2 linked regions of the Macaca mulatta genome follow. The protein of the gene in region 1 interacts with the protein of each later gene in a pairwise test. Links are inferred from orthologs where the notes say so. Each region holds a gene or a part of one and is shown in the gene's direction. Other genes may lie near its edges. The genes, in order: GAPDH and PRDX1.

The links.
Region 2: the proteins of GAPDH (region 1) and PRDX1 interact in a two-hybrid assay, tested with the Homo sapiens proteins (2 studies listed by BioGRID and IntAct, with this or other methods). The link is inferred for Macaca mulatta from reciprocal best matches to the Homo sapiens genes GAPDH and PRDX1.

Annotation. Positions count from the first base shown.
Region 1 is NC_133416.1:7,484,357-7,488,634, forward strand, and holds the start of GAPDH (glyceraldehyde-3-phosphate dehydrogenase), read left to right. Parts: upstream 1-1,444; 5' UTR 1,445-1,487; exon of another isoform or gene 1,488-1,579; intron 1,580-1,756; 5' UTR 1,757-1,773; coding exon 1,774-1,802; intron 1,803-3,477; coding exon 3,478-3,577; exon of another isoform or gene 3,578-3,600; intron 3,601-3,658; coding exon 3,659-3,765; intron 3,766-3,887; coding exon 3,888-3,978; intron 3,979-4,068; coding exon 4,069-4,184; intron 4,185-4,271; coding exon 4,272-4,278. UniProt on the Homo sapiens protein: Has both glyceraldehyde-3-phosphate dehydrogenase and nitrosylase activities, thereby playing a role in glycolysis and nuclear functions, respectively.
Region 2 is NC_133406.1:195,098,738-195,102,541, forward strand, and holds part of PRDX1 (peroxiredoxin-1), read left to right. Parts: intron 1-247; coding exon 248-370; intron 371-606; coding exon 607-737; intron 738-1,094; exon of another isoform or gene 1,095-1,821; intron 1,822-1,942; exon of another isoform or gene 1,943-2,128; intron 2,129-3,591; coding exon 3,592-3,677; 3' UTR 3,678-3,804. UniProt on the Homo sapiens protein: Thiol-specific peroxidase that catalyzes the reduction of hydrogen peroxide and organic hydroperoxides to water and alcohols, respectively.

The DNA of each region.
Region 1 (4,278 bases):
GCCAATGGCAGCCAGACGAGGACACAGCCTGGTTCTGGGTCCCAGGAGGAAAGGCAATCCCAGAAAGACAGGGACAAGGACTGGAGTCCTGTGGGTGCCTTTTAAGCAAAGATTATCACCAGGCGGGCTAAACTTAGCAAACGGCTTTTAGCTAGAAGGGCAGGGGGCTGGTGTCAGGTTATGCTGGGCCAGCAAAGAGGCCCAGGATCCCCCTCCCATGCACCTGCTGATGGGCCAAGGCCACCCCACCCCACCCCCTTCCTTACAAGTGTTCAGCACGCTCCCATCCCACACTCACAAACCTGGCCCTCTGCCCTCCTACCAGAGAAATGGATACCCTGTGGGAAGGGGCAGGGGGCCTGTTCCCACCATGTGCCCAAGACCTCTTTTCCCACTTTTTCCCTCTTCTTGACTCACCCTGCCCTCAATATCCCCCAGCGAAGCCAGTGAAGGGGAGTCCCTGGCTCCTGGCTCGCCTGCACGTCCCAGGGCGGGGAGGCACTTCCGCCCTCACGTCCCGCTCTTCGCCCCGGGCTGGATGGAGTGAAAAGCACACTGTCTCTCACCCTAGGCAGCACAGCCCACGGGGCTCCAGGAGTGACTTTGTGGGAGGCCTCTGGGCCCCCACCAGCCATCCTGTCCTCCGCCTGGGGCCCCAGCCCGGGGAGAGCCGCTGGTGCACACAGGGCCTGGATTGTCTGCCCTAATCATCAGGTCCAAGCTACAGGGCTGCAGGACATCGTGACCTTCCGTGTAGAAACCTCCCCCTCAAGCCGCCTCCCGAGCCTCCTTCCTCTCCAGGCCCCCACTGCCCAGTGCCCAGGCCAGGCCTCGGTCCCAGAGAGGCCAGGAGCCAGGAGATGGGGAGGGGGAAGTGGGGGCTGGGAAGGGCCCACGGGCCCCTCCTAGCCCTTTGCTTCAGCTATTCCGGTGTCACTACCGCAGAGCCTCGAGGAGAAGTTCCCCAACTTTCCCGCCTCTCAGCCTTTGAAAGAAAGGGGAGGGGGCAGGCCGCGTGCAGCCGCGAGCCGTGCAGGGCTCGGGCTCCAATTCCCCATCTCAGTCGCTCCCAAAGTCCTGTTTCATCCGTGCGTGTAAGGGCCCCCGTCCTTGACTCCCTAGTCTCCTGCTGCCCACACTCCAGTCCTGGGAAGCAGCACCGATCACCTCCCATCGGGCCAGTCTCAGTCCCTTCCCCCCTCCGTCGGGGCCCACACGCTTGATGCGTGCCCAGTTGAACTAGGCGGCTGCGGAAAAAAAAAAAGAGCAGGGAGAAAGCAGGGCCCCGCTACTCGCGGTTTTACGGGCGCACGTAGCTCAGGCCTCAAGTCCTTGGACTGGGACTGGCTGAGCCCGGCGGGAGGCGGGGTCAGAGTCACCGCCTGCCGCCGCGCCCCCGGGTTTCTATAAATTGAGCCCGCAGCCTCCCCCTGCGCTCTCTGCTCCTCCTGTTCGAGAGTCAGCCGCATTTTCTCTTGCATCGCCAGGTGAAGACGGGCGGAGAGGAGCCCGGAGGCTAGGGACGGGCCTGAAGGCGGCAGGAGCGGGCGTGGGCCGGACGTGTTCGCGCCGCTGCGGGGTGGGCGCGGGCCAGGGTCCGGGTCCGGGCCCGGGCTGCCTCCGCATTGCAGGGGCGGGCGGAGGACGTGATGCGGCGCGGGCTGGGCATGGAGGCTGGTGGGGGGAGGGGAGGGGAGGGGAGGCGTGGGTGTCGACCGGGACCACTAGGCGCTCACTGTTCTCTCTCTCCGCGCAGCGCATCCCTGAGACACCATGGGGAAGGTGAAGGTCGGAGTCAACGGGTGAGTTCGTGGGTGGCTGGGGGGCCCTGGGCCGCCCGCAAACTGCGTCTACGAGCCTTGCGGGCTCCGGGTCTTTGCTGTCGTATGGGGTAGGGTAGCTGCGTCCGGCAAGGAGAGCTCAAGGTCAGCGCTCGGACCTGGCGGAGCCCCGCACCCAGGCTGTGGCGCCCTGTGCAGCTCCGCCCTTGCGGCGCCATCTGCCCGGGGCCTGCCTTCCCTAGTCCCCAGGAACAGGAGGTCCCTACTCCCGCCCGAGATTCCATCCGACCCGGACCCCTAGCTGGGGACGCTTTCTTTCCTTTCGCGCTCTGCGAGGTCACGTGTCGCAGAGGAGCCCCTCCCCCATGGCCTCCGGCACCGCAGGCCCCGGGATGCTAGTGCGCAGCGGGTGCATCCCAGTCCGGAGGCTGCGCCTGCGGTAGAGCGGCCGCCATGTTGCAACCGGGAAGGAAATGAATGGGCCGCCGTTAGGAAACCCTGCCGGTGACTAACCCTGCGCTCCTGCCTCGGTGGGTGGAGTCGCGTGTGGCGGGGAAGTCAGGTGGAGCGAGGCTTCCCGGCCCCTGCTCTCAAGTCGGCCCCTGAGCTGCAAGCCCTATTTCCCCTCCGGGTGATGCTTTTTCTAGATAATTCTCTGGTAAATCAAAGAAGTGGGTTTATGGAGGTCCTCCTGTGTCCCCTCCCTCCAGAGGTGTGGTGGCTGTGGCTTGGTGCCAAGCCGGGGGGAGCTGAGTCATCGGTAGTTGGAAAAGGACATTTCCACCGCAAAATGGCCCCTCTGGCGGTGGCCCCTTTCTGCAGCGGCGGCTCACCTTATGGCCCCCCTCTTCCCCTGCCAGCCTAGCGTTGACCCCACCCCAAAGGCCAGGCTGTAAATGTCACCCGGAGGATTGGGTGTCTGGGAGCCTCGGGAAACCTGCCCTTCTCCCCATTCCGTCTTCCAGAAACCAGATCTCCCACCGCACCCTGGTCTGAGGATAAATATAGCTGCTGACCTTTCTGTAACTGGGGGCCTGGGCTTGGGCCGTCTCCCATCCCTTCTCCCACACACATGCACACACCTGTGCTCCCACTCCTGAATTCTGGAAAAGAGCTAGGAAAGGACTAGAAGCTTGCAAATTAAAGCCCTGGGACTAGGGGGTTAAAAAACAACTTCCCCTCTTCCCCCGGCCCAATCTCTGTCCCTTTTGTAGGCGGGTCTTAGAGAAGGGGTGGGCTTGCCCTGTCCAATTAATTTCTGACCTTTATTCCTGCCCTTTGAGTTTGGTGATGCTGAGTGTACAAATCTTTTCTCCTTAAACGGTGCAGTTTGAGGCTGAGCTAGGCAGCAGCAAGCATTCCTGGGGTGGCATAGTGAGGTGCTGAATGCCACGTGCAAAGCTTGTGCCCAGACTGTGGGTGGCAGTGCCCCACATGGCCGCTTCTCCTGGAAGGGCTTCCTATGACGGGGGGTGTTAGGCAGCAGTGGAGCCTTCAGTTGCAGCCATGCCGTAAAGCCAGGCCAGCCTGGCAGGGGAGCTCAAGGGAGATACAATTCACCTCTTAATGGAGGTAAGGAGATGTTGGGGGTAAGGAGATGCTGCATTCGCCCTCTTAATGGAGAGGTGTCCTAGGGCAGCTCACATACTGTGGAGAAGCCTCCCCTCCTCATGCCTTCTTGCCTCTTGTCTCTTAGATTTGGTCGTATTGGGCGCCTGGTCACCAGGGCTGCTTTTAACTCTGGTAAAGTGGATATTGTTGCCATCAATGACCCCTTCATTGACCTCAACTACATGGTGAGTGCTGCCCCAAAGCTGATGTGGGAGGAGCCACCTGGCTGCCAGGCAGCCCCTTCACACCCTTGCGTATTCCCCCAGGTTTACATGTTCCAGTATGATTCCACCCATGGCAAGTTCCATGGCACCGTGAAGGCTGAGAACGGGAAGCTCGTCATCAATGGAAGCCCCATCACCATCTTCCAGGAGTGAGTGGAAGGCAGTGGGAGAAATGTGCTGTGGGGGGCAGCTAGGGTGGTGCGGCTCCCTTGGGTACATGGTAACCTCGTGTCCCTCAATATGTCCTATCCCTGTCTCCCCCACCCCATAGGCGAGATCCCTCCAAAATCAAGTGGGGCGATGCTGGCGCTGAGTACGTCGTGGAGTCCACTGGCGTCTTCACCACCACGGAGAAGGCTGGGGTGAGTGCAGGAGGGCCCGCGGTAGGGGAAGCTGGCTCAGCCCTGCAGAGGCAGAACCCGGGTTTATAACTGTCTACTTCTCTGCTGTAGGCTCATTTGCAGGGGGGAGCCAAAAGGGTCATCATCTCTGCCCCCTCTGCTGACGCCCCCATGTTCGTCATGGGTGTGAACCATGAGAAGTATGACAACAGCCTCAAGATCGTCAGGTGAGGAAGGCAGGGCCAGTGGAGAAGCGGCCAGCCTGGCACCCTGTGGACACGCTCCCCTGACTTGCGCCCCCTCTTTGTTTGCAGCAACGCC
Region 2 (3,804 bases), on another chromosome or scaffold:
GAAGAAGTGCAAAGTCTGACTTTCTCTTACTGCTCATGACCTGGCAGCAGAGAAGCAGCAGCTTCAGTTGCAGTTGAGTGTACCCTAGTAACCTACCTTAACTGTTCTCAGCATTCACTTTATTGCTGGAAAAGGAAAAAAACAGTTTTTTTGGAAAGTTAGATTAGGAATATGGGAAAGGGGGAAAGAGGAATAGGTACAGTTAAGTCAAGAGTTTGAATGTAACTGTGTTTGCCTTTTGCCGTAGGATCAACACACCTAAGAAACAAGGAGGACTGGGACCCATGAACATTCCTTTGGTATCAGACCCGAAGCGCACCATTGCTCAGGATTATGGGGTCTTAAAGGCTGATGAAGGCATTTCATTCAGGTATGTCATCAGGACAAGTACCCAGTTGGCTGAAAGCCTTTTATTTGGAGAAATCTAGAGCCCTGATCTGTAGAGACTCCTTCATCATTTCATTCCTTTATGCAGGGGCCTTCTCACTAAGGCCAGGCCAGTATGAATGTGGAGACCAGTTCATTTCCTTAAGACTTCAAGCTTCTGTATTCTAACAAAGCACATCTTTAAACCTGTATTGCTTTTCCTTTCATCTCTTTTCCCAGGGGCCTCTTTATCATTGATGATAAGGGTATTCTTCGGCAGATCACTGTAAATGACCTCCCTGTTGGCCGCTCTGTGGATGAGACTTTGAGACTAGTTCAGGCCTTCCAGTTCACTGACAAACATGGGGAAGGTAAGCCATCTGTCTGATAAAAGGATAACAGAGTGGTGGTAGAATGGGAAAGATAGTAGGAACAGAAGCTACCTAATAAGAAAAGGGGTATTTCTCTTCAAGATATTGAAGCCCCTGGATTACAGTATGTGAGGGTGAGGGTAATGGAAAAGCTTGGGAAGGAGAATATAAAGACTTTTTATTCGAAGTGTACATACTCCTCTCTTCTGCCCTGCTCATTTAGAATCAGTCACTCCTAAAGATCTAACTTAATGTAGGATGATCTCACAGATGTATTAGGGCAAAACAAAATGGTTGGGAATCACATCTAGAGATGAAGCATGCCATTTAAAAAATAACTGTTGAGAGAAGAGGTTAATCCATATAGTTCATATTTGTATTTATTTATTTATTTATTTTTTGCAAGACAGAGTCTTGCTCTGTTGCCCAGGCTAGAGTGCAGTGGCGCAGTCTTGGCTCACTGTGACCTCCACCTCCCATGAGCCATCGCGCCCAGCCCAGACTAGCTTTCTAAGGCCCATTTTAGCTCTGATCTTGTGATTTAAAGAAAATGAAGTTTAGTGACTAGAGTCTGGATTAGTGGTGTATGTTTGGGAAGACCCAAAGGTGCTAGTTTGGCTAGCACCAAATAATCTTTTTACAGGGATTACTTTTTAATCCCTGTAAGAGTCTGATTATATAGGGATCAGTGAGCACTGATAACCAGGAGGTACCCTTTTCAGAAGGATGTGTGGGCAATTAGCCTGGACAGATAACACATGGCTCAGCTGACACCTGCTGAGACTGCCCCCTTGTGGGAGATGAGGTTCAGCATTAAGAAGGAGCCGGCAGTGGCAAAGTAGGCCCTTTAACTGGACTTTCCTGGGAACCTACATATAGGTTAGTCTCCCGAACACAAGCTTTCATGACTCAGAAGCTTGCTTCTTCAGACTCTATTGGTCTCTTCTGCTTCCCATCCCACTGGAACATGTACAGCTTCTTAAATAGGCACCATTCAAGAGCCTATGAATGCCAAACACTATATATATATATATATATATATTTTTTTTTTTTTTTGAGACAGAATCTTGTTTTGTTGCCCAGACTGGAGTGCAGTGGTGTGATCTCGGCTTACTGCAGCCACCACCTCCTGGGTTCAAGCAATTCTCTAGCATCAGCTTCCTGAGTAGCTAGGACTACAGGGGCCCACCACCATGCCCCACTAATTTTTGTATGTTTTGTAGAGATGCGATTTTGCCATGTTGGCCAGGCTGGTCTCAGAACTCCTGAGCTCAAGCTCAAGCAGTCCTCCGCCTTGGCCTCCCAAAGCACTGGGATTATAGGCGTGAACCACTGTGCCCGGCTGCCAAACACTTGTTTTTTTGAGATGGAGTCTCGCACTGTCATCCGGGCTAGAGTGCAGTGGTATGATCTCAGCTCACTGCAACCTCTGCATCAAGCAATTCTCCTGCCTCAGCCTCCCGAGTACCTGGGATTATAGGCGCTCACCACCACGCCCAGCTAATTTTTTATATTTTTAGTAGAGACGGGGTTTCATTATGTTGGCCAGGCTGGTATTTATTTGCTTTTATGCTGTTCTTTCCAACTTGTTTATCTTTAGGACCTGTATTGTAACCCTTTGATATCACTAAAGCCAATAACTAACAATCAGATGGAGATTTTAGGAAAATAATGGCAGCTTGTCCTTCTATTTAGCTCTTGTTCCATCTGTACCTTATGCCTAGAGAGCTGTTTGTAGAGTCTTGATATTTGAGGTTATGATATCCTTGGACCAAAGAGGGGCCTCCCTATGTCTCACTTGAGCAATTGAGACTCTTGCTGCTCCTGCTGGACTTTGATTACATGTCTCGTAGAATATGACAGCACATGGTAGTGGAAAAATCAGGCCAGGTGCGGTGGCTCACGCCTGTAATCCTAGCACTTTGGGAGGCCGAGGCAGGCAGATCACCTGAGGTCAGGAGTTTGAGATCAGCCTGGCCAACATCGTGAAACCCCATCTCTACTAAAAATACAAAAATTAGCCGGGTGCGGTGGCAGGCGCCTGTAATCCCAGCTACTTGGGAGGCTTATGCAGGAGAATTGCTTGAACCTGGGAGACCAAGGTTGCAGAGAGAGGTGGGGATCACGCCACTGCACTCCAGCCTGGGCAACACAGCGAGACTCCATCTCAAAAAAAGAAAAAGAAAAATGAGAGATTAGTCCCCTTGCCTCACTTTCTTCAGGCTAGCCTGAGACACATTCTTAGGCATTGTCAGGAAAAGGTTGAAGGCTGTGCTTTCTGTATACATTCACGAAAAATCTCAAACTTTGCCTTTTGCTTACCGAGGGGTAGATGGCAGTTACTTAATGAAACAAGCAGGGGCTTCTATTAAGTTCTTGATCCTTTATAAGGTTCAGGCTTTCCAGTTTGGTAGCGTTAGAAGAATGCTGAGAAGGCAGACTGAGGTTGCTGCCTTCAGAGTTCTGAAGGGCTGTCAGAGGGAAACAGTTTAGTGTTAAGGGTTTACATAGTTCTATGTGTATCATTTACTTAGCTTTTTTTTTTTCCCTTAAGGACTAGAGAGTGTTGGCAAATCATTTAAACTTGCCTTTTTTGTGGAAAATTTAAATTTTAAGTGCTACATGAATAAATTAGGCATAATAGTATCTTAAGGCTGTGGTGATGATTATATAATGTTTGTAAAATAGTTAGGTTACACTAAAAGGCTGAATGATCTTAGACCGATTGCAGGGGTAGGTTTCCTGGTATCTGAGTGTTCAGGCTCTTTAGGGTGCAGAACTGGTTTTGTCCATAGGAGAATGGTGGTGCATACCATTGAGAAGGTTATTAATTAGTGGTACCTTTCTTTTGCAGTGTGCCCTGCTGGCTGGAAACCTGGCAGTGATACCATCAAGCCTGATGTCCAAAAGAGCAAAGAATATTTCTCCAAGCAGAAGTGAGCGCTGGGCTGTTTTAGTGCCAGGCTGCAGTGGGCAGCCATGAGAACAAAACCTCTTCTGTATTTTTTTTTTTTCCCCATGAGTAAAACACAAGACTTCAGATTCAGCCGAATTGTGGTCTTGTTAC